Diceros bicornis minor: one gene and its partners. The protein of the gene in region 1 purifies or fractionates together with the protein of each later gene. This does not show direct contact. Links are inferred from orthologs where the notes say so. Each region holds a gene or a part of one and is shown in the gene's direction. Other genes may lie near its edges.

What was found. Proteins that work in one complex are often made in the same cells at the same time.
Region 2: the proteins of NEDD1 (region 1) and TUBG1 purify together in Homo sapiens (affinity purification with mass spectrometry; 5 studies listed by BioGRID and IntAct, with this or other methods). This does not show direct contact. The link is inferred for Diceros bicornis minor from reciprocal best matches to the Homo sapiens genes NEDD1 and TUBG1.
Region 3: the proteins of NEDD1 (region 1) and TUBGCP4 purify together in Homo sapiens (affinity purification with mass spectrometry; 3 studies listed by BioGRID and IntAct, with this or other methods). This does not show direct contact. The link is inferred for Diceros bicornis minor from reciprocal best matches to the Homo sapiens genes NEDD1 and TUBGCP4.

The regions. Positions count from the first base shown.
Region 1 is NC_080764.1:25,698,852-25,706,301, reverse strand, and holds the start of NEDD1 (protein NEDD1), read left to right. Parts: upstream 1-4,369; 5' UTR 4,370-4,423; intron 4,424-4,776; exon of another isoform or gene 4,777-5,654; intron 5,655-6,744; 5' UTR 6,745-6,752; coding exon 6,753-6,888; intron 6,889-7,450. UniProt on the Homo sapiens protein: Required for mitosis progression. Promotes the nucleation of microtubules from the spindle.
Region 2 is NC_080757.1:41,681,637-41,689,321, forward strand, and holds the start of TUBG1 (tubulin gamma-1 chain), read left to right. Parts: upstream 1-4,575; 5' UTR 4,576-4,629; coding exon 4,630-4,678; intron 4,679-5,005; coding exon 5,006-5,118; intron 5,119-5,300; coding exon 5,301-5,468; intron 5,469-6,306; coding exon 6,307-6,375; intron 6,376-6,646; coding exon 6,647-6,726; intron 6,727-7,162; coding exon 7,163-7,289; intron 7,290-7,499; coding exon 7,500-7,586; intron 7,587-7,685. Other genes in the region: RETREG3 (reticulophagy regulator 3), read right to left, coding at 4,013-4,251. UniProt on the Homo sapiens protein: Tubulin is the major constituent of microtubules, protein filaments consisting of alpha- and beta-tubulin heterodimers. Gamma-tubulin is a key component of the gamma-tubulin ring complex (gTuRC) which mediates microtubule nucleation.
Region 3 is NC_080744.1:40,804,652-40,812,377, forward strand, and holds the start of TUBGCP4 (gamma-tubulin complex component 4), read left to right. Parts: upstream 1-4,616; 5' UTR 4,617-4,700; coding exon 4,701-5,063; intron 5,064-7,726. Other genes in the region: ZSCAN29 (zinc finger and SCAN domain-containing protein 29), read right to left, coding at 39-728, 2,564-2,768, 3,219-3,533. UniProt on the Homo sapiens protein: Component of the gamma-tubulin ring complex (gTuRC) which mediates microtubule nucleation.

The DNA.
Region 1 (7,450 bases):
TCATTATGGATTAGTTTGCATTCAATCCAGATTGATATCAGCTGTAGGTGCTCTGACTGTCTTTTTTTAAAAATTGTTTTGGCTAGGTTATTTGCATTCCAATATAAATTTTTCAATTAGCCTGTCAATTTGCACACACTCAAAATAAACCTGTTGGAGTTTTGTGGAGATTAAGTTGAATGCATAGATTACTCTGGAAAAAATTGACATTCTAGCAATATTGTTTTCCATCTCGTTAATATGGTACAGCTCTCTATTTATTTAGGTCTTTAACTCCTCTCAGCAATGTGTTACAGTTTTCAAAGTATGGTTATTGTGCATATTTCATTAAATTAACTGTAAGTATTTCATGCTTTTGGGTGCTATTGAAAATGTAACTGTAATTTTTATTTCATTTTCCAATTGTTTATTGCTAGCATACAGAAATACTACTTTATTTTTGTATATTGACTTTGCATAGGCCTTGCTAAATTTACTTGTTGGTTCTAGGAGCTTTTTTCTGTATTCCTTATGATTTTCTAGTACACAATCATATGTCTGCAAATAGAGTTTTACTTCTTCTTTTGCATTCTATATGCTTTTTATTTTTTGTCTTATTGTATTGGCTAGGGCTTCCAGAAGAATGTTGAATAGTAGTAATGAGACTGGGCATCTTTGTGTTGTTCTCCATCTTAGGAGAAAAGCATTCAGTCTTTTACAATTAAGTATGGTGCTCCTTGTGGCCTTTCACAGATGTTCTTGAACCTGTTGAAGATGTTTCTTCCCTTTTTTTCCTAGTGTGCTGAGTTACTAATCATGAACGGATGCTGAATTTTTTCAAATGCTTTTGCTTTACCTATTGATATAATGATATGGCTATTCTCCTTTATTTTGTTAATATAGTGAATTATGTTAATTGATTTTCGAATGTTAAACCTACCTTGCATTTCTGGAATAAACTTTATTTGGTCATGATGGATCATAATTCTTTTATGTTGCTGCATTTAATTTGCATATATATATAATTTTTGTCTCTATGTATGAGAAATATGAGTCTATAGTTATTTCTTGTAAGGTCTTTGTCTGGTTTTAGCATCAGGGTAATAGTGTCCTTAAAAACAATAAGTTTAGGATATATTCCCTCCTCTTCTGTTTTTGGAAAAAATTTGTATTGGATTGGTATTATTTTTTCCTTATGTGTTTGATAGACTTCAATAGTGAAGCCACCTGATCCTGGGGTTTTCTTTGTGGGAAAGTTTTCTTAATTACAAATTCAATTTCTGTAGTACATATAGGACTATTCATGTTATCCATTTCTTCTTGTGTCAGTTTCAATATTTGTGTCTTCAAGATATTTGTCCATTTAAGTTACCAAATTAATCGGCATAAAGTTGTTCAAACTATTCCCTTATTATCTTTTTAAATATCTTTTGGTTCTGTACTGATGGCTTGCCTCTCTTTCAATCCTCATACTGGTATTTTGTGTTTTCTCTTTCTTCTTGATAAGTCTAGCAAGAGGTTTATCAATTTTATTAATCATTTCAAAGAATCAGATTCTGGTTTCATTAATTTTTCTCTGCTGTTGATCTGTTTTCATTTTCATTGTTCTCTACCCTAGTTTTTACTTTTTGTTTAATTTGCTCTTCTTTTTCTGGCTTCCTTATTGATATTGGACCTTTCTTTTTTTTCCATAATATAGACATTTAAACCTATATGTTTGTCTAGAAGCACTGCTTTGATGAATTCCATAAATTTTTATATGTTGCATTTTACTTATCATCATTTGAATATTTTCTAATTTATTTGCGATTTGATTTTTTCTTTGATCTATGAGTTGTTTAGAAGTAAAGTTGTTTAAATTTCAGATGTTTGGGGCTTTTCTAGATGCTTTATTGTTTTCTATTTAATTGTACTGTGATCAGAGAATATACTCTGTAAGATTTATTTGCTTAAAATCTATTGAGACTTGTTCTACGGCCCAGCATGTGGTCTATCTTTGTAAATATTCCATGTATATTTGAAAAGAATGTTTATCCTGCAGAGGTTGGGTATAGTGTTCTATAAACGTCAATTAAAATAGTTGATAAAGTTCAGATCTAGCACGTCTTTACTGATTTTTTTTTCTTATCTGGATGTTCTATCAATTACTGAGAGAATTCTGCTAAAGTCTCCAACAATGATTATGGATGTGACTTTTTCTCCTTCAGCTCTGACATTTATTCTTCATATACTTTAAATGTTTTTTTTTAAAGATTTTATTTATTTATTTTTTCCCCCCAAAGCCCCAGTAGATAGTTGTATGTCGTAGTTGCACATCATTCTAGTTGCTGTATGTGGGATGCAGCCTCAGAATGGCTGGAGAAGCGGTGCGTCGGTGTGCGCCCAGGATCCGAACCCGGGACGCCAGCAGCGGAGCGCGCGCACTTAACCGCTAAGCCACAGGGCCGGCCCTATTCTTCATATATTTTAAACTTCTGTTATTGGTCACATATATATTGATATGGCTTCTGGTTTTATTGACCATTTTTTTGTTGTGAAATATCCCTCTTTGTCTCTAGAAATATACCTAGTCTTGATGTTTACTTTGGGAAAGCTGTATATGTTTATATAATTCATATATTAGTGAGGATTCCAACATTTGGCTTCTATTGCTTGTAGACTGTATTATAAAGAACTAGGAAACAGAATGCACATAGACACAGAGGTAGGAACAAGAATGTCAGAACTGTGTAAGGTCTGATGAGGCTGTGGTACCAGCAGGGAGGAAGGAGTGAAGGTTGACATTTGGCCCTTTATGCTGTGTTCTGGCTCTTGACTATATAGCATAATGGTTGAGAGCACAGTCTTTGTAATATTCTGGTTCTGGATTTAACTCCTGTGCATACCATTTCTTAACTGTGTGACCTTGGGAAAGATACTTAACCTCTGTTTCTTCACATGTAAAGTGGGGACATAGTACATACACGTTTTTAGAAAGATGAAATTATATATATATATATATATATATATATATATATATATGTAGTATACCTGTACACATTATATACATATCTATGTGCTTAGCGAATTATGTGCTTAATAAATAATATCTATGTGTTATTTGTTATTATATTACATAATATGTATATATTATATGGTATGCAGTATTATATCATATATTGTTTCATATATTCTAGTCTCTATTTTCCTGCTGGCTTCAATTTTTCAGAGATTTAGTTCATTGTTTTTTCCTTATTTGCCCTGATTCTCCCTGCACCCTCTCTCTTAACTTCTTTTCTTATTTCTGAACTTTTTGGGCCCCATCCTTGCTGAAATTGGATTTAATAACCTCAAGAACTATGAACTATACAATGAAGGAAGTTGCTGCTCGCTATCTTTCTCCTTTTGAGGCTCCCCATCAATCTTTAAAACTTAGCCAGAACTTCAATTTCTGCTCTGCAAAAATTGCACTTACCAGTTTTCTAGTTATTTGCAATACGTGTGCAAATAACTGGGGCTTATATACCTAGATCAGAAACACATTCTGAGTATATACTTGTGATGAAAGAATAATAACACTGTTTTCAGAAGAAAAGCCGTATATTTATTGTAAGTATTCTTAGCAACCATTGCCAGTAAAACTTAAAAAAAAGTCTCTGGTAGAACGGGCATTTGAAAATTCAGTTCAACTCCTTTTTCCACTCTGAGAAGCATCCCCTTCAAAAGAATTCCCAACCAAACGGTGTTTGATGTTCCCGACCCGGCAGCATGATTCAGAAGAAAAATCATAGGTTTTGAAGTCGGATAGTTTAGATATTTACGCTTTCTGTTATTGCCTAGCTTTTCTGAGCACGTCCCCTGGTTTGTAAATTGCCTGGCGTATTATCTGCTCTCCATGGTTTCCTCTTCAGGGAAGTCTTTCCTAAACCCACATCTACGTTCATTCCCCTTTTGTATGTCTCGTACCTTTCCTTTGAAGCCATTGTCAGTTTCACTTTTCATTTAAGTACGTAACTATTTATTAACGTCCGCCTCCTATACTGGGCTGTAAGGCCCCGGAGGCCGGGACCACAAGCGTTCACTGTACCCCGGTATTCCCAGGCTAAAGAAATCACGGTGCACCCAGAGTCTAGCATGGAGCCTGGCATACAGTTGGCAGTTAGCGAACAAATGAATTTCAAAGAAGCAGCTGTCTGCGGCCCAAGTGCCACCGCTAGGGCAAGGAGGGAGCCGCCCAAGGCCGCAGTTCCCGCCCTGGCGCGGGGAGAAGGACCCCCGCGGAGGCCTAGCACCGCCCCTGGCCCTACCCCGCCAACCCGAGGCCCCGCTTCGGGCAGCGCCCCTCCTCGTGACGCCACTCGGGGGCGGGACTTCCGGCCGCCGAAGTTTAACAGTCCAGGCGGGAGCCGGAAGCCCAGCGCCGGAGCGGGCCGCGCCGTGGCCCGCGGTGTCCCGCTGCCGAGAGGTGAGGTTCCGGAGGGCCTGGGGTCAGCGGGCCGCCGCCCGCCGTGTCCTTGCACACTCCTGAGCCCCGTCCGCCCTCCGGCCACCTCGGGGAGCTGGCCAGAGGTCCCGGGGCTCCGCGCCCCCCGCCCAGTGCGGCGCCCCGGACGGTTGCTGGGCGGAGGCGCGGCCGCGGGATTGGCGCGGAAGTGCCTGGAGCCGCGGGCCGGGGTCGCGCGCCGCCTCCTGCGAGGCCTCGGGCCCGGCCTGAGGGGCGGCCCGGTCCGCGGGGGTAGGTCGGCGGCGGCTCTGGGGGGGCCGCCTCCGGAGAGTGTGCCGCTTCGCCGCAGTCCGCTCCCTTTTTGTAAACCTCTCCAGTAGGACTCGGATGCATTTTATAAGGTCGCCCCAGTCGCGCAGTTCTCCTGCAAGTAAAGTGCAGATTTGGTGAAGGAAAGTTGGAGAACTTTTGTTTGTTTGAGCTGAGTGTTGTGGCGGAATTTGTTCTTGTGGCCGCTGTCCCCGGATCCGGGGCGGGCCGTCTGGGACCGCCCTGTGTCCTGACAGCTCCTTTCGACGGGGGCCTCTTGGAGAGCTGATGTCATGCCCTTCCCTTAAATGCGCTCGAGTCTCAGAAGACCGAGGTGGGTGGGCAGACGGTCCCCTTTGCCGCTCCACCTTCAGAGAAGGAAACAGACATGAAGTGACTCGGCCAGAGTCACTGTCACCTAACTCTGGGGCAGATCGTGTGAACCCACTTGTTCTGAGCCCTGGCTTTAAGTGATCCTTCTGCGACACCACACCGCTCAGCAGGACTGGTGTAAGATTATGGCAGAGCCATCTTTCAGTCGTGTTTGCTGGGTTCAGAGATCGCCTTTCCAGCACTTCATTGTTCCTTGAGTAGGAACCAAAAGGGCACGTGTTAACACAGGCCAGGCACCAGATCCAAACACTTTGCTTTTCAACAGATGACTGTACCGGCTTTTAGTAGCACCCTGTTTATCTGATAAATGATGTGTAATGAATCACAAAAGTGACTTTTCTAGTTAACAAAAGTTTTAGCCTTTTTTTAAGCACATAAAAAAGTTTTTTTTGTCTCTGGAGAATCAAAGGGCCCTATAATTTATACCTTGAATTTGTCCTCTGAAATAGGGTATATTGGACGTGAATGTGATGTTTTGTTGATGACTTGGGAACCTGTCTGTGACATCACTAATGCTGTGCTATTCTCTTGCACTCTTTACACCAGGAAGGTGTGTAGGGTATAGTTCTCCGCCCCCTGCCCTTGCTCTTTCTCCCGTGTGTTTTTGAGCATTTTTTCTGACCTGTCATGCGTTACTCCTTGCTGCTTTTTAAAGACACTTTAGTCTGCCTGGAGCAGCTTCCTTGCCTTCTCTCCTTTCACAAACCTTCTGTCTTGCCTTGGTTTGTGAAATCACTGTGTCAGAGTTATGTGTTTGAACTATATACTGTGAATAAGTAATATGAGCCAGGGTGTTGTAGACCGAGTATTGGTATAGGGACTTAGCGACATCTCCTGTGGCTATATTTGCTAATTTTGAAGTTACTTGGAAGAAGTAGAGTGACTGGATTCTGACCTGCAGGGGTGCTACAGTTTATCATACGTTTCTGAAAAGATTAGGAAAGGTTACCTATCCAACAGTTACTTGTTGAGTACCTACTGTGTGCCAGGAATGTTTCAAGACGGGTGGTGTACAAGACAAAATCTCTGTCCTCGGCATCTTTGTTTTGTTCCAAGTCAGAGGAGTCATACATTATTATGAGAACAAATAATTGAAGATAGCAGGAAGTGCCATGAAAAAAATGAAACAGGGTAATGGGATATAAGGCAGCTGGTGTGGGGCTGCTCTAGTCCTGGTGGTTGGGAAAGGCCATTCTGAAGGAGGAGACAAGAGCTGAGACTGGAATGATGTGAAGGAGATGAGCGTGGGAAATCTGGGGAAAGAGCATTCCAGGCCAGGGGGCAGCAAATGGAAAGACATCAGGCAAGAAAGAAGGCCATTGAGTCTGGTAGGCCCCCGGAGAAGAGAGACAGGAGAGTTACACCGGGGCCGGGTCATGTAGAGCACGCTAAGGAGGTTGGATTTCATTATAATTGTGCTGAGGAGAGCCATTGGAAGGGTCAACTAAGAGATTGTGATCCGGTTTTCCTTTTAGAATTTTAGAAAGAAAGATCACTGCAGTTACTTGGTGGTGAGCATCCTCTCTGGGACAAAAGTAGACAAGCAGAGCCACTTGTTTTAGATTAGATGCTTCATTTTAAGTTTTTTTTTTGCCTATCCTTAATTTTTTTTAAAATATATTGTTTTAAACCACTTGTAGGTGCAGCCATGCAGGAAAACCTCAGATTTGCTTCATCGGGAGATGATGTTAAAATATGGGATGCTTCATCTATGACGTTGGTGGATAAATTCAACCCACACACATCACCACATGGAATCAGCTCAATATGTTGGAGCAGCAATAGTATCCTTTTTTTTTTTTTAAGCAACTGCTTTCTGTTAGGTTAAACAAACAGTTTCTATGAAATTTTTGCATGTGACACATGAGAAATATATTTTGCATCACTGTGAAAGATAAATAGATAAAGTGAAATAGGAGTTTAATAAACAGTACATCATATGAATGCACACTGATATTCTGTTGATTTCATTTTTAAAAATTTTAGTTGCAACCCACTCTATTGTAAAACATTGCTATAAAAAATATATATATATATAAGCTACTAGATCTAGACCATAGAATTAGTCTTGTTATCAACAGTTTGTTATTGAATCAAGCGGAATAAGGTAGGTAATGGTGGGAAAAATTCTGAAAGGTTTTGAATGGGTTTTGGCATCTACATTTGGATATTTGTGGATCTGGTCTGGAAATTAAAGACAGAACTCAAAGGCAGAAGCAGAGGTAGGGGGAAGAGATAAAAGTTAGAAGTGTCCAACATCCCCATTTTACTGATGTACTCTCTGTATTTCTCTTCCTTTCTATGATGAAAATAGTCTCATCTCCCAAATAAAGTGTCTAGATTGAG
Region 2 (7,685 bases), on another chromosome or scaffold:
ATTACTAATGAGAGTGAAATTTTATATATCCACTGATTTACTATTTTTTGGCTTTTTTGTCCTTTTGTAAGCCACCCATCCCCTTTATTATGGGCTAAAATCTAATTAATTATCAGTCTAAATAAAATATTCCTTGGAAAAACAATCTGGTGTCCCTAAAAATCATGAGAAATTCCAAAACTAAACAATTTTTTTGAGGTTAACTATACTATGGATCCTCACTGTTAGCACAGGTAAATTAGAGTTTGCTATAATCATAAAGTTTATGCTATAATCACAAACAAAATAAAGATCACATGACTGTTTTCAAAGAAGATACTATTTCTGGGTTCCTTTGTTATTGCAGAGTAAGCTTGTCTCAGTGGCACTTCAGAACAAAGCACCCCATCCTATAGGGACAGAAAGCCCATTATTGTACAGCACTGTGGCTGTCTGGTTAATCAGCCAGTCACTGGTAAATTAGAATTAAAAAAATTAACCCAACCTATCTCACGCAGTGACAGTTGTTGCTTGCACAAAACCAGAAATGAAACCAGCTAGCTGCTAATAACCTACCTTATGTTAATGGACAAAAAGCACCCAACCTTACAATTAGGACAGATAAAAAACTGTTGGCAAAAGAGAGGCAAAAAAAAGCAAGCCAAGGCATCCTTGGGAATCTTCTTGGCTACCAAAAGCAACAAGAACAATGATCAGAGACGTGTGCTCAATAGATTTCATCTGAAATTTGATGTGTAGATTTTTTTTCACAGAACACTAAGTCTCTACTTAAATGGGCCCTCCCTTCCTTTTCCTGTTCCTTTTTCATTTTCATTCAAATTCTAAACTTTCAAATAAGAATTTTTATATACCTTTAATCATTTCTCAGGTCATTTTATTGATTTGGGGAGATTTTTGCGGAGATGGGAGGGGAAACACCTTATTTTTTCCAATTGTGAAAACAACAGATTCCATAACATCCCCTAGAATATAGTATGGTTAACTCAGACTAGCGACTGTAAAAGCAGATCCCAACAGAGAATAATTTAAAGATCATCTAGAATCACAGAATGTTAAAAACTGGAAAGGAGCTTTGCAGTCATCTAGCCCTCCTTGAACCATATGCGCTTCATAGAAGGGCTTGGGGTTCACACACATTTCCAGGGCTCCTTTGTCCTCCCCTATCTCCTAGGTATGAGTCAAACCAAAAAGTTACCTGAACCTGTTCGTTTCTGATCCTGTGAGGATACACTCTCACTGACTCAGCTGTTCTTCCCCCAAATCACTCATTTATAGGTGGTGTTGAGGCTAATGAAAATATAAGCTATTGGAGAGAAACGCCTGACATTTCTGTTATTATCCTAGAGACAAGAACATATCAGTGAATAGAAGCAACATAGGTTGGAAGAACTCTGATATGATACCCATAATTCCTCTGGAACCTGAAAAAAAAGAGTGAAAACCTTGAAATACTACAGTGGCAAGGCATCTACATCTATCTTTGTCTTTTATGTTGTTGTTTTTTTAAGATGTAAGAGGGCACATTCACAGGTACAGTTGACTAAGAATACAGAACATGGAAAGTTAAGAGCTACCTACCTGAATTCTGATGATTTTTTTGTACTCCTATCCAATCTTCTAATACCTCAAAATATATAAAACACCTCAGTTAATGATTTATCATTATTCAAAACAAATAATGAAAGAAAAATAAAATATTTCAGATTTGATTTCTCTCAGACCTGAGCCAATGATCCTTCTATGTTTCCTAAACATTTAAAATGTCTGAGAACAAAACAGTCACTCTTTGACATTCCTAAGCGAAATGTCAACACCCATATTCAATATGATGCTACTGGAATGTGAAGTCTAACTTTCATTTTGAACTTCAAACTACCTCCCAAAGAAGCCCATTTCCTAAAACAAACAATCCCATGAACTCCAACGCCAAACCACCCTAGCCTCTGGGGCCTTACTTAACACTTCCAGTCATTCTGTGCCCTTCACAGGTGTAAGTCCTCTCCATAAATGGCATACCCAGTTGCTCTTTCAGTCTCAAGAGATGCACCCTTCATTTTGCTGTATCTCTCCCCACCTATTTCAAGTGTGATGGGAACATAACAAGAGTAACTGTGCTCTGGATACACAGCACGCAAGCTACCAGAAAATCCCAGAGATAAAGATCAATCACAACAATGCTTCCAGAGACCCAGAGTAGGAAAAGGAGATCTGAGTGAGATTCTAAACATAGCATATTAGTAAACTTAAGTAAACACTGTTGGGGGCCAGCAAATTAAAGCTAACTGTAACATTTAAAGATGTGTCTTATGCAGAGCTGCTCCTTGTGTGCAGACCTCAACCCCACATTCCACTTCAAAACTCTCTCTCAGGCAAGGGGCATGTGGAAAGTCCCCTCCTCAAAAATAACAACATACATGCTACTGATCCATTTGCATTAATAAAACTTTGGCTTATCAGGATTCATTTAAAAGAATTTTATATATCAGCCACTCACATCTTGATACAAACTGGTTTATTCAGGACCCACTTTTTTCCTAGGAGTACAATCCCAATGTAGGAAAGGAAGTTTTGACTGGATGGTCCAGGGTTAGGGGTTGGGATGGGGAGGTGGGAGGAAAGGAAGAAAAGGTCATTCTGGAAAACACTCCTGAACGAGGTGCTACAGTTAAGGGTTTCTGACAGAAAGCAACAGACCGGAAGTAGGTACCTGGGGATCAAAGAAGAAGCAATACCAAAAATAAATGAAGAATGCTGTAGAAAAAGTTTATCGTCAAGTTTGTTAAAGACTATGGAAGTCAGAGATGGCTGTGACACCTTTCACCTGAGTCTCCTTCAAACTGTGAGAGGATTAATTTAACAGCTAAACATTGTGTCTTCCTGCCAATGAACTTGGAATTATTGGGTTTGCTCCAGCTCACTAAAAATCTTCTTTCAGACAAAGAATAATAAACGTTTTGATTTTAAAACCAAGAATTTCAAGAGGAAAGCTATTTTTAGCAAAAAACAATTTTTTTTTTTTTTGCGAACTCATACTTTGTGCTGTTTCAGGCTTATCCAGAATAGCCTTATTTCATCCAGTTGTAGAAGCTCCCTATACTTCAGCTCCCTTGGAATTAGATCAATAATACTTCCCTAATTATGAATAAATCCAAACTATGCCTGGCAGATCCTATGAAGACCTAAGTCCACTCCAGGTAATGACAACTGAGAGAAGCAGGAGTTCATCTTCACAGAGCATGACACATCCAGATTCTGAAAGCATATTTATAGCCGCACTTTTCCAGCTCAGGAAAACTTACACACTATTAGACACCCTCAATTTCCTTGCCTATAAACTGCGGCTGGATGCCTCGCTAATTCCTTGCAACATGGAGGAGTTGCAATCATAGAGGCTTTGAAACGGGTGAAATCGCACAATCACTATTTCCTAACTGTTCTTCAAAAGCTTATAATTTTCTTCCAAGTTGCAGCTTTGGACGCGCTTAGTGACGCTCAGACTTCACAAACCTCCTAGAGTGGGAGAAAGAAAGATCTAACGCGCGAATTCAGATCGTTCAAGCTGGTTTTCCTATCACACCTCCGGATACCTTTTCAAGACCTACCGCCTGACGCGTGTACCCCAATAATAACTACTACAATCTGGAGACAGTCCTCACCACATTTGAGCAGACAAGAGAAGGGAGGCTATGGCCTTCAAGGCACACAGCTTTCCCTGGCTAAAATGAGGCGCCCTCGCGCACTGCGAGCGGCTCAAGACGTAACCAGAAGCTCTTGCCTGATGTGCGGGGCGAGGGTGCGGGAGCAGTAAAGCGGAGAAGACAACTGAAGACCTGGGGAGAACTGCGGTGCCGAAGCCTGCAGGCGGGAAGAAGTGGAAGGAGATGGGGCAAAATTAGGCAGGTACAGGAAGGAGCCAGCGCAGCGAAGAAAACAGAGGAGGCGAGAGGTAGAGCCCTAGAGAAACCTGACGAATTCCCGCCTCGGAGGGTTTCCAAGGGTCCAGTTCTCTCACCAGAAAGCCGCGTTCAGCCCCAGGCACCACAGGGCGCTCCTGGCGGGCCGCTCCCACACCAGGGCTGCCTGCACCCGGCTCAGCAGAGGCTCGTAAGGCCCCAGCACCTCCACCAGGGCCCGCTGCGCCGCCTCAACCTGCTGGTCCCGCTCCCAGGAGCCTGACATAGCGCGGCGGCCCGTGAACGTCGGGCCCAAACTTGGGCCTGGGGCCGCGTCCACCCCCTCTGCCTCCGCCATCGCCCCCCGGCAGCCACAACATCCGGGGCCGCGGCCCCACAGTCACAATAACACCAACTGCGCAGATGCGCGATTCGGCGGGGGAGGCTGCTTCCCTTCACAACGCGCCTGCGCACACACTCGAACGAGAGTCCATCCAGAGAACACTGCGTCAAAGCACGCCCCTGCGCCCAGCCCGATCAGGAGCCGCGCAAGCGCAGTCTGCATGACTGAAGCCAAATGAATAAGGAAGTGCCATCGCCAGAACTCAGTTCTCATTGGAGCGGAGAAAGTTCGTGGGCGGGGCGAGTTGTTTGGCGCCTGCGTCGTGCGGCGAGCGGGCTGGCTAGCGGCGGCTTTGCTGGCGGGAGAGGCTGCAACGCCGGTGCCTGAGGAGCGATGCCGAGGGAAATCATCACCCTACAGTTGGGCCAGTGCGGCAATCAGAGTGAGCAAACCTCCGGCCCCTCCACTAGCCAGGTTCCTCAGATTCTATGGGATCTCGCTGTGGGATCCTGGACTCCATCTGCCCTTCCCAGAATCGTAGTTCTCCGAAAGGCAGGACATGCCTGACCCAGTGTCCAGTTGCCCAACCCCGAGGGGCCCTCCCCTGCCCGGTCCTGGCATACAGCCCTTTCCTCTGACACGGGAGACTCCTGAGGCTTGACTTCCTGTCTCTATACCCAGGCGCTCAGTCCCCAAGCTCCTAGTTGGAACCTGCCCAGACCCAGGTATCCTCTTTCTCCCCCGTCCATCTCTCCCCCACCCCGCCCAGTTGGGTTCGAGTTCTGGAAACAGCTGTGCGCCGAGCATGGTATCAGCCCCGAAGGCATCGTGGAGGAGTTTGCCACCGAGGGCACTGACCGCAAGGACGTCTTTTTCTACCAGGTGCCCCCAGCGACTTGGCCAGGGGTCCTAAAGGGAAGGCAGCGGCCTGGTGCTGGGAAACCTGCTGGGCAGAGAAGCCAGGGCGGCTGGCTTGAGGAGGGAGGGCAGGGAGGAGGCAGAGCTGGGAGGACGGGGGCCTTGGCCTTAGCTGATTGGGCCCCCTCCTGGACTCCCCTTGACAGGCAGACGATGAGCACTACATCCCCAGGGCCGTGCTGCTGGACCTGGAGCCCCGGGTGATCCACTCCATCCTCAACTCCCCCTATGCCAAGCTCTACAACCCAGAGAACATCTACCTGTCAGAGCATGGAGGAGGGGCTGGCAACAACTGGGCCAGCGGATTCTCCCAGGTCATTCGCTATTCCCTGGCAGGACCCACAACACCCTTCCTGTGTTGGGACAGGCCCTATGACTTCCCAGAGAGAGATGAAACCAGATCAAGGATGTATGAGTGCTGGAGGGAGAGAGAGATGGCTTAAGGGAGTTCTGTTTTCTAAGTCAACTATGTAAAATTGTTAAGAGACTCCACTAGCTAGTGCTGTGTGCCAGGCCGTACTAAGAGCTTTACGTATATTAACTTATTTAAACCTCCCAGCAACTCAAGAGGTAGGTAGTACAGGTCCACAGTCTCTTATCTACCTTTCCAGAATCCAAAAAACTCTGAAACCAAAAGACAATTTATAACTCATTTAGCAACAAAACCCAATCTCAATGGAGACAGGCTATTTTATAGTTTCTATCCAATTTACTGTCATTTCTCATACCTTTCATCACAGAAATATTAATGTATTTGATTAGCACACCTCAGACTCCCACTGGCATTTTACTTAACATACATTATATGTACCATGTTACCTTTATAGAGTCTGAAAAATTTGAATTCTGAAACATAACTGGCCTTAAGGATTTTAGAGTGGACCTGTATTATTACCTTCATATACAGATGAGGGAACTGAGGTATAGAGAGATCACAACGTGCTCAGAGTCACCTCGGCTAAACATGAACCCAGGCCTTCTGGATGTAGAGTGCCTGCCCATAACCACTGTGCTATACTGCTTCTCAATGCAAATAAAAAGCAGGGCCACTGTGCTCTAAAAAAAGACTTTTAGGTGCTATAAGGAGAATCGAGAGTCAGAATCTTTGTCCCATGGTCCTGTCTTGCTCTGACCTTCCCCATATCTGTACAGGGAGAGAAGATCCACGAGGACATTTTTGACATCATAGACCGGGAGGCAGATGGCAGTGACAGTCTGGAGGTGTGTCTCAGGAATGGTAGTGGGAGCCGACATAGGGAAGCCTCAGCAACACCCTTTAGAAGCCACTTTTAGGAATAAGACCCACCCATGTATGCTTTGCACTGGACAGAAGCCTTGCTGGAAACAAGGCAGAGTCTCCCCAGCTGTATATGTTGGGAGGGAAGTGGAGGAGAGAACTTGGCAAGATAGGAGTCCAAGAAATTATGGGATGGGTCCAGTTTGAAATCCTGACACTAGATACCTAGACACTGACTGCCCCTTCCCCATGTAGGGCTTCGTGCTGTGTCACTCCATCGCTGGGGGGACAGGCTCTGGCCTGGGCTCCTACCTCTTAGAACGGCTGAATGACAGGTAAGTCTGTGTTTTGAGGGGCTAGGAGGACTTGGTTTCCCAAGTAACTTGGAGGCCCTCCAGATACACCTTGCTATTCACTGGAGCAGGAAAGGGCCCTTCTGTAGTGAGGAAAGTCAAGATAGAGTGACTGAGAACCCGATCACACTCCCAGGGGTTGAAACTGGAGCCTCGAATCTGGGCCCTAGATGAAGAGATGAAGGTTCAGGGAGTATGGGGTTTGGTGTTGGAACTCTAGATCCTAAGATGTCTTTCTGCCCTTCCCCCTTTGGGGTTACAGACTTCCAAAAGTCAGGTCTCCCTTCTCTACTGCTCCCCGGGGCCCCATACCAGTTTCCCCATCCAAAATCAGCTGCTTCCAGACAGTTGCTGGGAGCCCCGTGTTCACCAAGCCACCAGTCTGTTGCCCTGACCCTTTTCTCCCAACCCCCACTAGGTACCCCAAGAAGCTGGTGCAGACGTACTCAGTGTTTCCCAACCAGGACGAGATGAGCGACGTGGTGGTCCAGCCCTACAACTCGCTGCTCACACTCAAGAGGCTGACCCAGAACGCAGACTGTGTGGTGAGTCCTGGATTCTACCATTCCCCACCCCCACCCCCTGTCTCTTTCAACACTTTCAGCCCTCTTGGGCCCCAGTCCTGTGCAAGTCCCTTTTGGATGGGTCTTTCTGGCTGTGAGGCTCAAGGGAAATTAAGCTTCAGAACCCAGGCTCAGGCAGAGCTGCTGTTCTTTCTGTCTCCATAAATCTGTCACCCTCTTCTGTCCCCCGAGGTGGTGCTGGACAACACAGCCCTGAACCGGATCGCCACAGACCGCCTGCACATCCAGAACCCCTCCTTCTCCCAGATCAACCAGCTGGTGAGCCCCAACTCCTCCACTCGTTTGGACTGGAATGCCTCCTTGCTGGAGTGCCAGCTGGGGAAGGGAGGCCCCCCCAGGCCAAGGCCCATGACATGG
Region 3 (7,726 bases), on another chromosome or scaffold:
CTCCTCAATCTAATCCCAAAACCTGAGAAGCTTCTTACCACTTGGCCTTCGGAAAAGAACAGTCAAGTTGTCAGGGTCCTGTGGGGTGGCCTCCTGGCCCATTTCATCACTGTCAGACTCTTCAGCCATGGCCTCTTCTCCTTCCTCATGCTGCCAGACCCCTTGCCCTGGCTCCTCAGTCTCAGCATCACTGCCCACCAGGCCAGAGTGAGAAGCTGCCTCTTCCAAGCCGTTACTGGGCAGGGCGATGACCTGGGCACTCATCAGGGCTTCCATCTCTTCAAAGAAGGGGCAGGTCTCAGGTGGGTGGCCACCCTTGACTTTCCGATAGCTCTTCTGGAGACCTTTGAACTTGGTCCGACACTGTTCCAGGGTCCGGAGGAAGCCATACTCTCGGAGCCGCTCAGCCACAGCCCCATATACTTGGCTGTTGCGGTGACAGTTTCGAAGAGCCTCATAAAACTCAGTCTGACTGAGAATCGCGAGGAGAGTTCTGGTCTCTTCATAGCCCCAGTGCACACCTGCCACCTTCTCATCCTCAAAGCCCCAGTGATCCTGCTCCACCCAGCTTCTTCTCTCTCTCCTGGATGGTAACGGATCAGCATGCATTCGTCTGTCTCCTGTGTGACTGCCTCTTGGGAGTTCCTTCTCCTTGGAGCCCAAATCTGGGATCCATGGCTCTCCTTGCTCCAACCTGGAGACCACACCGGATTTAGGAAATGGAAATCCTGCTTGCAGGAAGCAAACAAAGGATATCATAGTTTGGATGGATCATAAAAAACATCTCTGAGTTCAGACCTGCCTTTTTTATCCAAGAAGCTTATAAGAAAGTGTCTAAGGAAATGTTTTCAGAAAGTTCAATGAGTTGGAGAAAGTGGGGAAAATACATGAAACTTCAAAAAATGAGAAATATTTTATTTTCCAGAGCAAAGTGACAAGAGAGGAAAAGGTTCTGTGGTGTGTTCAGAGCAGATACTTTTGTTCCAAGTTGCTCCCTAGCCCTCCTGACCACTTGTAGGAAGGTTCTGGCACTGCTGGGAACAGTCACCTTCTGTCTCTATAGTTCTCCACTTGGGACTAGAGAATTAAACTCTGAGTGATTCCAAAGGGGAGGGGAGCGGAGGGGAGACTCTTCAACTCATTTGTTGCCTTCACACTCAGTAACCAAGTTCTAAAAGTTTTTCCCTTAGTATGTCCTTTACTCCTACTGCCACCATCCAAGTCTAGACTCCTTATCCTCTCACACCTGGATAACTGCAGCAGTTACTATCCGACCTCACTCCAAGTTCTTGCTTCCTCAGGTAACATGCTATACTGCTGAACGTTAACCTGAGTGCCTACCATGCACTGTCCATTCCTACCAGACTCTCCTCTCCAGAACACAGGACACATTTATTCACCACTCTCTGCCTTTCCTTTAACTCCCTTTCTCCTATCCAAATTTAATCCACCCTTCAAGAAGCTGTATTTGCCAATGCCCCCATGAAGCCTTCCCTACAGCCCTCCCTCATCTCCCACTCCGCCAATCCCCTACTGTACTCACACAATTGAGTAACAAATCATGGTTTGGTGGTGTTTTGGTACAGTTCGGTTAGGCACATATTTATGTTTGCTGTTACGTTCTCAATTATATTGTAAACTCTTTAAGGATAGGCACCTTTTCTTATTGCAGAGTACCCTACAAGGTGTTCAGCACATGGTGTTCAAAAACTGATTCATTCTGCAAGTCTGTGTATGGGGTTGAGAGATTGCATCTGGATGACTAAACAGAGACCATTACCAAACTGGCTGAGAAAGCTAGTGTCTTAGATGATAAGATCAGAATTCAAAACAACCCCAACAAGTTAAAGAAATGATCAAAGAAAACATACAAAATGGAGTTTAACAGAGTACAAAGAAGAAAAACAAGTTCTATAAAATCAAGTATAAGAATAAGCACTAGGCACAAAGACACTGGGGAAGGCTGTAAGCATCCTGGGAGTTACCAAGTGAACAGTAGTCATTAAATAATTTTTTTGAGCTATACTGAAAGAAAATGTAGTGAAACTGAAATAAAATTCTTACTCTGCCTGTACCTACCAGACCCTCACTGGAATACATAATTTAGTTCTCCACAGTTAATATATTTGGAGAACTGAAAGGTTCCAAGGAAGAGTAACAAAAACTTAGTAGGTCTGAAGAGTGGAGCTTCTAGGGGAAAGCTTAAAGAAACAAATATAGTTTAATTTGGAGAAGGAAAATGACTGAAAGAAAGATGTGCCTTCAAGTACAGAAAAGAATTTTTATCTAGAAAATACTGACCTAGTATCATTACCAACAGGAAGTAAAATAGTTCCAAGTTCTGATAAAAACTGGGAAGCCATCCTCTTGCAGACTTATCAAGAGGAAATATAAGAATACTTACTGCAGCAGAGGGCTAAACTACATGCCTTCAGGAGGTCCCCAACAACCACATACTCTACAATTTCCACTCATTCCTGCAATCCCTTTCCCACTCCTATGCCCAACCCTACTTCCCAACTTAGAATGGCATCCTATCTTCCCATATGAATCTACTCCTCACCGCTCCTTTGAAAAGGTCTGAGCTTCTCCTTTGGATTCATCTGCTCCTGTGGTCCCAGGTCTGGGCTTCTTGCCCTCTCTTTCTTGGGTACACCCCTGGGCTGGGGTTCCACTGACTCCTGCCGAACAATTAATAACTCTTGTGATGATTTCAGGGGTGTCATCTTCTCCAAGCGCACTTCCTGCCCCTTCACAGAGACTGTGACCTAGAAACAACCCCCGTTAATTGTCACTGCAAGGTCATAATGAGGGGCATTCCCAGAGAAGATTATTTAATACTCCAAAAGAGATCATCCTTTGAGACATGGCTAGGGTTGGGGGGGTGGTTAATAGTGAACAAAGGTCTGTCTTATTCCATTACTGTTACTTAGAGCAGCTGGAACTCCAGAAGGAAAAGATAAAAATAGTAAACCCAACTACAGGCTGAAAAAAATTCCCCTTCCCTATTAAACTATGAAAGTACATATAACTCATTGTGACAGGGTGTAGCAAAGGTACACCCAGATAAGCTCTGTCTGAACAAGTTACCTGTTCCAGGACCAGAAGCATCACCAAAGGAGATTGTGCCCCTCTTTAAACCTGTCTATACCTTAATTTGGCCCTTTATCCTTGCCCCTTCCCAGTCACACACTTGTGAATTCCCTCTCCCGTCTCACCGAACGTCCAGGTCTTCCAGGCTGTCTTTCTAAATCTTCCACCAGAGCCACTGCCTCCTCTCCACTCTCTGGACATTGCTCCTGTACCCAATTCTGGATCTCCCCAGGTAAGACGGTCAGGAACTGCTCTAGCACCAACAATTCTACAATCTGCTCCTTGGTGCGCACCTCCGGCCTTAGCCACCGGCAGCAAAGTTCCCAGAGTTGGCTGAAAGCCTCCCGGGGCCCAGCTACCTCCAGGTAATGAAATCTCCTGAAGCGCTGTCGGAAGGTCTCCGAGTTAGTGCCATTCCCTCTCAGAGTGGGTTTGGCCATCGTTCACAGCAGAAACCAGCTTCCCTCCGCTTAAGGGTCAGGGTTCCAGGGTTTGCACCTATCTTCCCATGTCCTTGGAGAATCACCTGCAGATGAGTCTCCCTCTGTTAAGAAGAGTTTCTTCCTAGGGTAGAGAGAGATGGAACTATCAGAAGGAATATACTCATGTCTAAAGTCTTGCCAGATCTGGGCTGACTTCCCTTATGCTCTACGTGGCCACCTGAGGTAGCACCAACTTCAGGACAGCAAGGCAAAACAGCATGAAGGAGAGAGACCTTGCAAAAACTCCATTTCTGGGTGACTTTCAGGGCAGCCCCGGCAAGCAGCAGAGAATAGAAAGTACTGCCTGCTCCTCCTCCACCTCCCCCAAATCTGATCCCATTTTGCTCCCGTCACCAATGCTGCATAGTGAACCATATGGGAGACCTGGAGCTCGAAAGGATCTACAAGGAGGTCACCATCCTGCTGAAGGCAACAAAAAGCCTCTGTCCAGCGGGTCGCAGCTGATCTCCCCCAGTACCTCCGCAGTCCTTCCCGAGGCCCCTACGTCCGCCCCGGCCCCTCAGACTCCACAACTACCAATTCCCACCCCAGACGAAAATCAAGTACTGAATACTGGGTCTTTGTTTTCCCTCACAGCAGAAGTAACCGCTCGGCAAATATTCAGGAACTACTGACGGGAAACCTGGCGCATTGGGAGAAGTTGGTTTTGGCTCCCGAAGCGAGGGCCAGGTGGGCTCGGGGAGAGTCACTGAGGTCGTGGAGAGAGGAAGTCCGAGGGGGCAGTAGTAATGTGTCTCCTGAGGACGAGCTTGGGTGCTGGCCAGGGCTCCGAGCGCTGCGGGGTTCGCGAGCGCGGAGCTCAGCTCAAGGAACGGCGCGTGCGAGGTTCCGGCCTCTTTGTCTTCGCTCCCTCCGGCCAGGGCACTCTCGGAGCCATCGTGCAGTCCCTCCAGAGGCCTCCGACGGGGCTAAAGCGCCCTGAGAGCACCCTCCGGCTCACCCCTGGGAGCGTCTCCCTCTCGGGGTGTCCCTCAACCCGCTCACATCTCTGCCCCGGGGCCAGCCTCACCAACTCGGGGTCCGGCCCCAGCTCGGGCTCTACCAGCCTCCCAGTCCGGCTCCCAAACCGGAAGTCCGAGCGAGCGACTCGGGCGCTGACGGCGCATGCGCAAGGTCAGACACAGCGACTCCTCTCGTGTGGAGAGCCGGCGGCAGCGAGCGAGTGGGCCTAGCCGAGCGCCGCACACTTCCGGGACCCGGCGCGCCGACCTCTTCCCCGCTTCCCCTCCGCACCTCCAGCAGCAATTGTCTTGGCGGGTAGATTCGGGGGGAACCGCCCGTCCCAGGGGCTTGTGCGCGGGTCGGGAAGGGGCACTCGCCTCCGAGGTCTCCTGGAGAGGTGCTGGAGGAGGGGGCGGCGGATATAGTGACTCGAGGTCCGCCGTCGGAATGATCCACGAACTGCTCTTGGCTCTGAGCGGGTACCCAGGGTCCATTTTCACCTGGAACAAGCGTAATGGCCTCCAGGTACTGTCCGGCTCAGAGCGCGGGAACTAGCTAGTGCAGAATGGGTGGACCTGCCAATGCTTGGGGAGGAGTCTGAGGGACCGAGGGGGCGGGGCTTGCGGGGGCTGAGGCATTCGGGGGGCGTGTCCCTGGGCAGGTAACTGTAGGGCAGTGCCTGAGGAGCCTACGGGTGTTGTAGACACCCTGAGAAGGCTGGGCCTAGGCTGGGGAACGGAGGGCAGACCTCGACGGGCCATGCCTTCCGGGAGAAGGAGGGAGCCCGGGACCCGGCCTGAGGTGGAGGTGTCTGAAAGAGAGTGCCTGGGGAACTGGACGTAAAATGAGGGAGGCAGCTTCTCCCATTTTCACGTTTGCACTCTGTTTTAAACTGAGTTTTGAAAGCTAGTCCACATACATAGCGCTTAACACACAATAAAGGTTCAGCAAATTTCGTTGAATGAAAGAATAAATGAGAGTGTTTCCCTCATTACTCCTTTTCCAGGAAATTTCTGCACTAGGAGAATTTGGAAGGGGGCCTTCGTGTAACTAGGAATGTATGAAGAGGAAGGGCTATGTACCATATGCATTATCTCATTTAATCTTCACAATCACCTATCTCCATTTCACAGATTAACTCCCAGTGTCCGTGTAGCTAGTAATTTGCGAGCTTGATCTTGAACCCAGGTCTGTCTGGCTCCAGTATCTGAACTACTCTTTTCTACTTCTGCTTTCAGCAATGTTATCTAATTCTCAATAATTTAATAACTTAGGTATTGTTAGCCCCAGTTTACAAATGAGCAAACTGAAGCTCAGAGAACTTTATGGTAGCTAGTCCTAGTAATGGCAAGATTTGAATCTAGCTCTGTCTGATCACAAAATCATACCTTTTCCTATGAGAATTGGCAGTATAGGCTGTGGAAGAGCAGAAAAATTACATTCTTAGTCTATAAAATCTACCAATCAAATAGATTCCTCTGGTTATTGTTTATTTTCCCCCGCAAAACTAGCATAGTGCCAAGCAGATAGGAGGAAAATGTTCAGGAAGTATTTGTGGGTGCTTGAGTGTCTGAAGTAAAAGGAAATATCAGAGTATAGGAAAGATAGCTGCTTTCCTTTCTTATAAAAAGGTCTCAATCAGATATTTTCCTCCTCAAGATCTCAGCTTTAAAGTCACCTCCTCAGAAAAGCTTTCTCTGACCACCTCTTTGAGTATCCTCCCCATATTGCCATTATTCTCTATCACAGAAACTTGTTTGTTTCCCTTATAGGACTTAGCACAATTCATATTATTTATTGTTGTTACTTGTTTATAGTCTTTTTCTCACATAGATTGCTCACGGGGGCAAAGACCACAGTGGTCTTTACTGATCTACCCAGAGCACCCAGCACAATTTCTGCCACGTAGTAGGTGTTCAGATATTTGTAGAAGAAAAGAAGATCACCAAAACCAGCAAATGTTACATACTTTCTGCAGAGAAGTATTTTTCACATTCGAATAAAGGGAAAAGTTGTCAGGAATGCCCAATGTTGATCAAAATCATCTTATTGTAATACTGAATATGTATACACATTAAGCTAAGTATAAAATCAAACATATAGCTCTTAAATAACTATAAAAAGAAATATTTTTACAAAGTAAACAGAACTACCCAATCGATAACTTCAAATTAACATTAACCTAATGCAGAGTTTCTCAACCTTGGCAGTGTTGACATTTTGGACTGGATAATTAATTCTTTGTTGTGGGGGGGGGTGGGCCTGTGCGTTGTAGGATGTTCCGCAGCATCTGTGGTCTCTACTCACCAGATGCCAGTAGTACTCCCCAAGTTGTGGCAACCCAAAAATATCTCCAGACATTACTGAATGACCCTTGGGGGCAGAATTGCCCCTGATTGAGAACCACTGATCTGATTAACATATATTATTGTTTTGCTGAAACTAAATCGCCAACAATTGAGTTTAATAAAGACCTTGCTACAGATCTGGTTCTGTATTTTCTATTTTTTTTTTCCCTTTTTCTCCCCAAAGCCCCAGTAGATAGTTGTATGTCATAGCTGCACATCCTTCCAGTTGCTGTATGTGGGACGCCGCCTCAGCATGGCTGGACAAGCGGAGCGTCAGTGCGCGCCTGGGATCCGCACCCAGGCCCCCAGTAGCAGAGCGCGCACGCTTAACTGCTAAGCCACGGGCCGGCCCCTGTATTTTCTATTTTGACTTCAGTAACACTAATGTAGAGAGTGCTTGTTAATATAAGTAGCTTGTACCAAATGGTATCAGTAACATTAAAGTATTGTTTGCTGTTTCAGAATAACTAGACCTTGAACTTTTCTAAAACTCGGCCAACAAGCACTGCTCAAAATGCCAATTTTAGTGGGAGTATCACTTGTTAACTGGGTAGAGATGTCCTAATAATAAAAAATTGCTTACGTGTATTAAGCACTTGCTGTGTGCTTGGCACAAGTGATTTACATGTATTAGCTTATTTAATCTTCACAATGATTGTCTCCACTTTATCGGTATGAAAACTGAGGCACAGAGAGGTATGGTAACTTGCCTAAGATTTCAAACAAGTAAGAGGCAACTCAGGGATTCAAACCCAGGCAGTCTGGCTCCAAAAACCAGGTTCTTAAGCACTATGTCATGTACCTCTTAAGTTATTAACTTGAAGATATGGTTAGCATTGT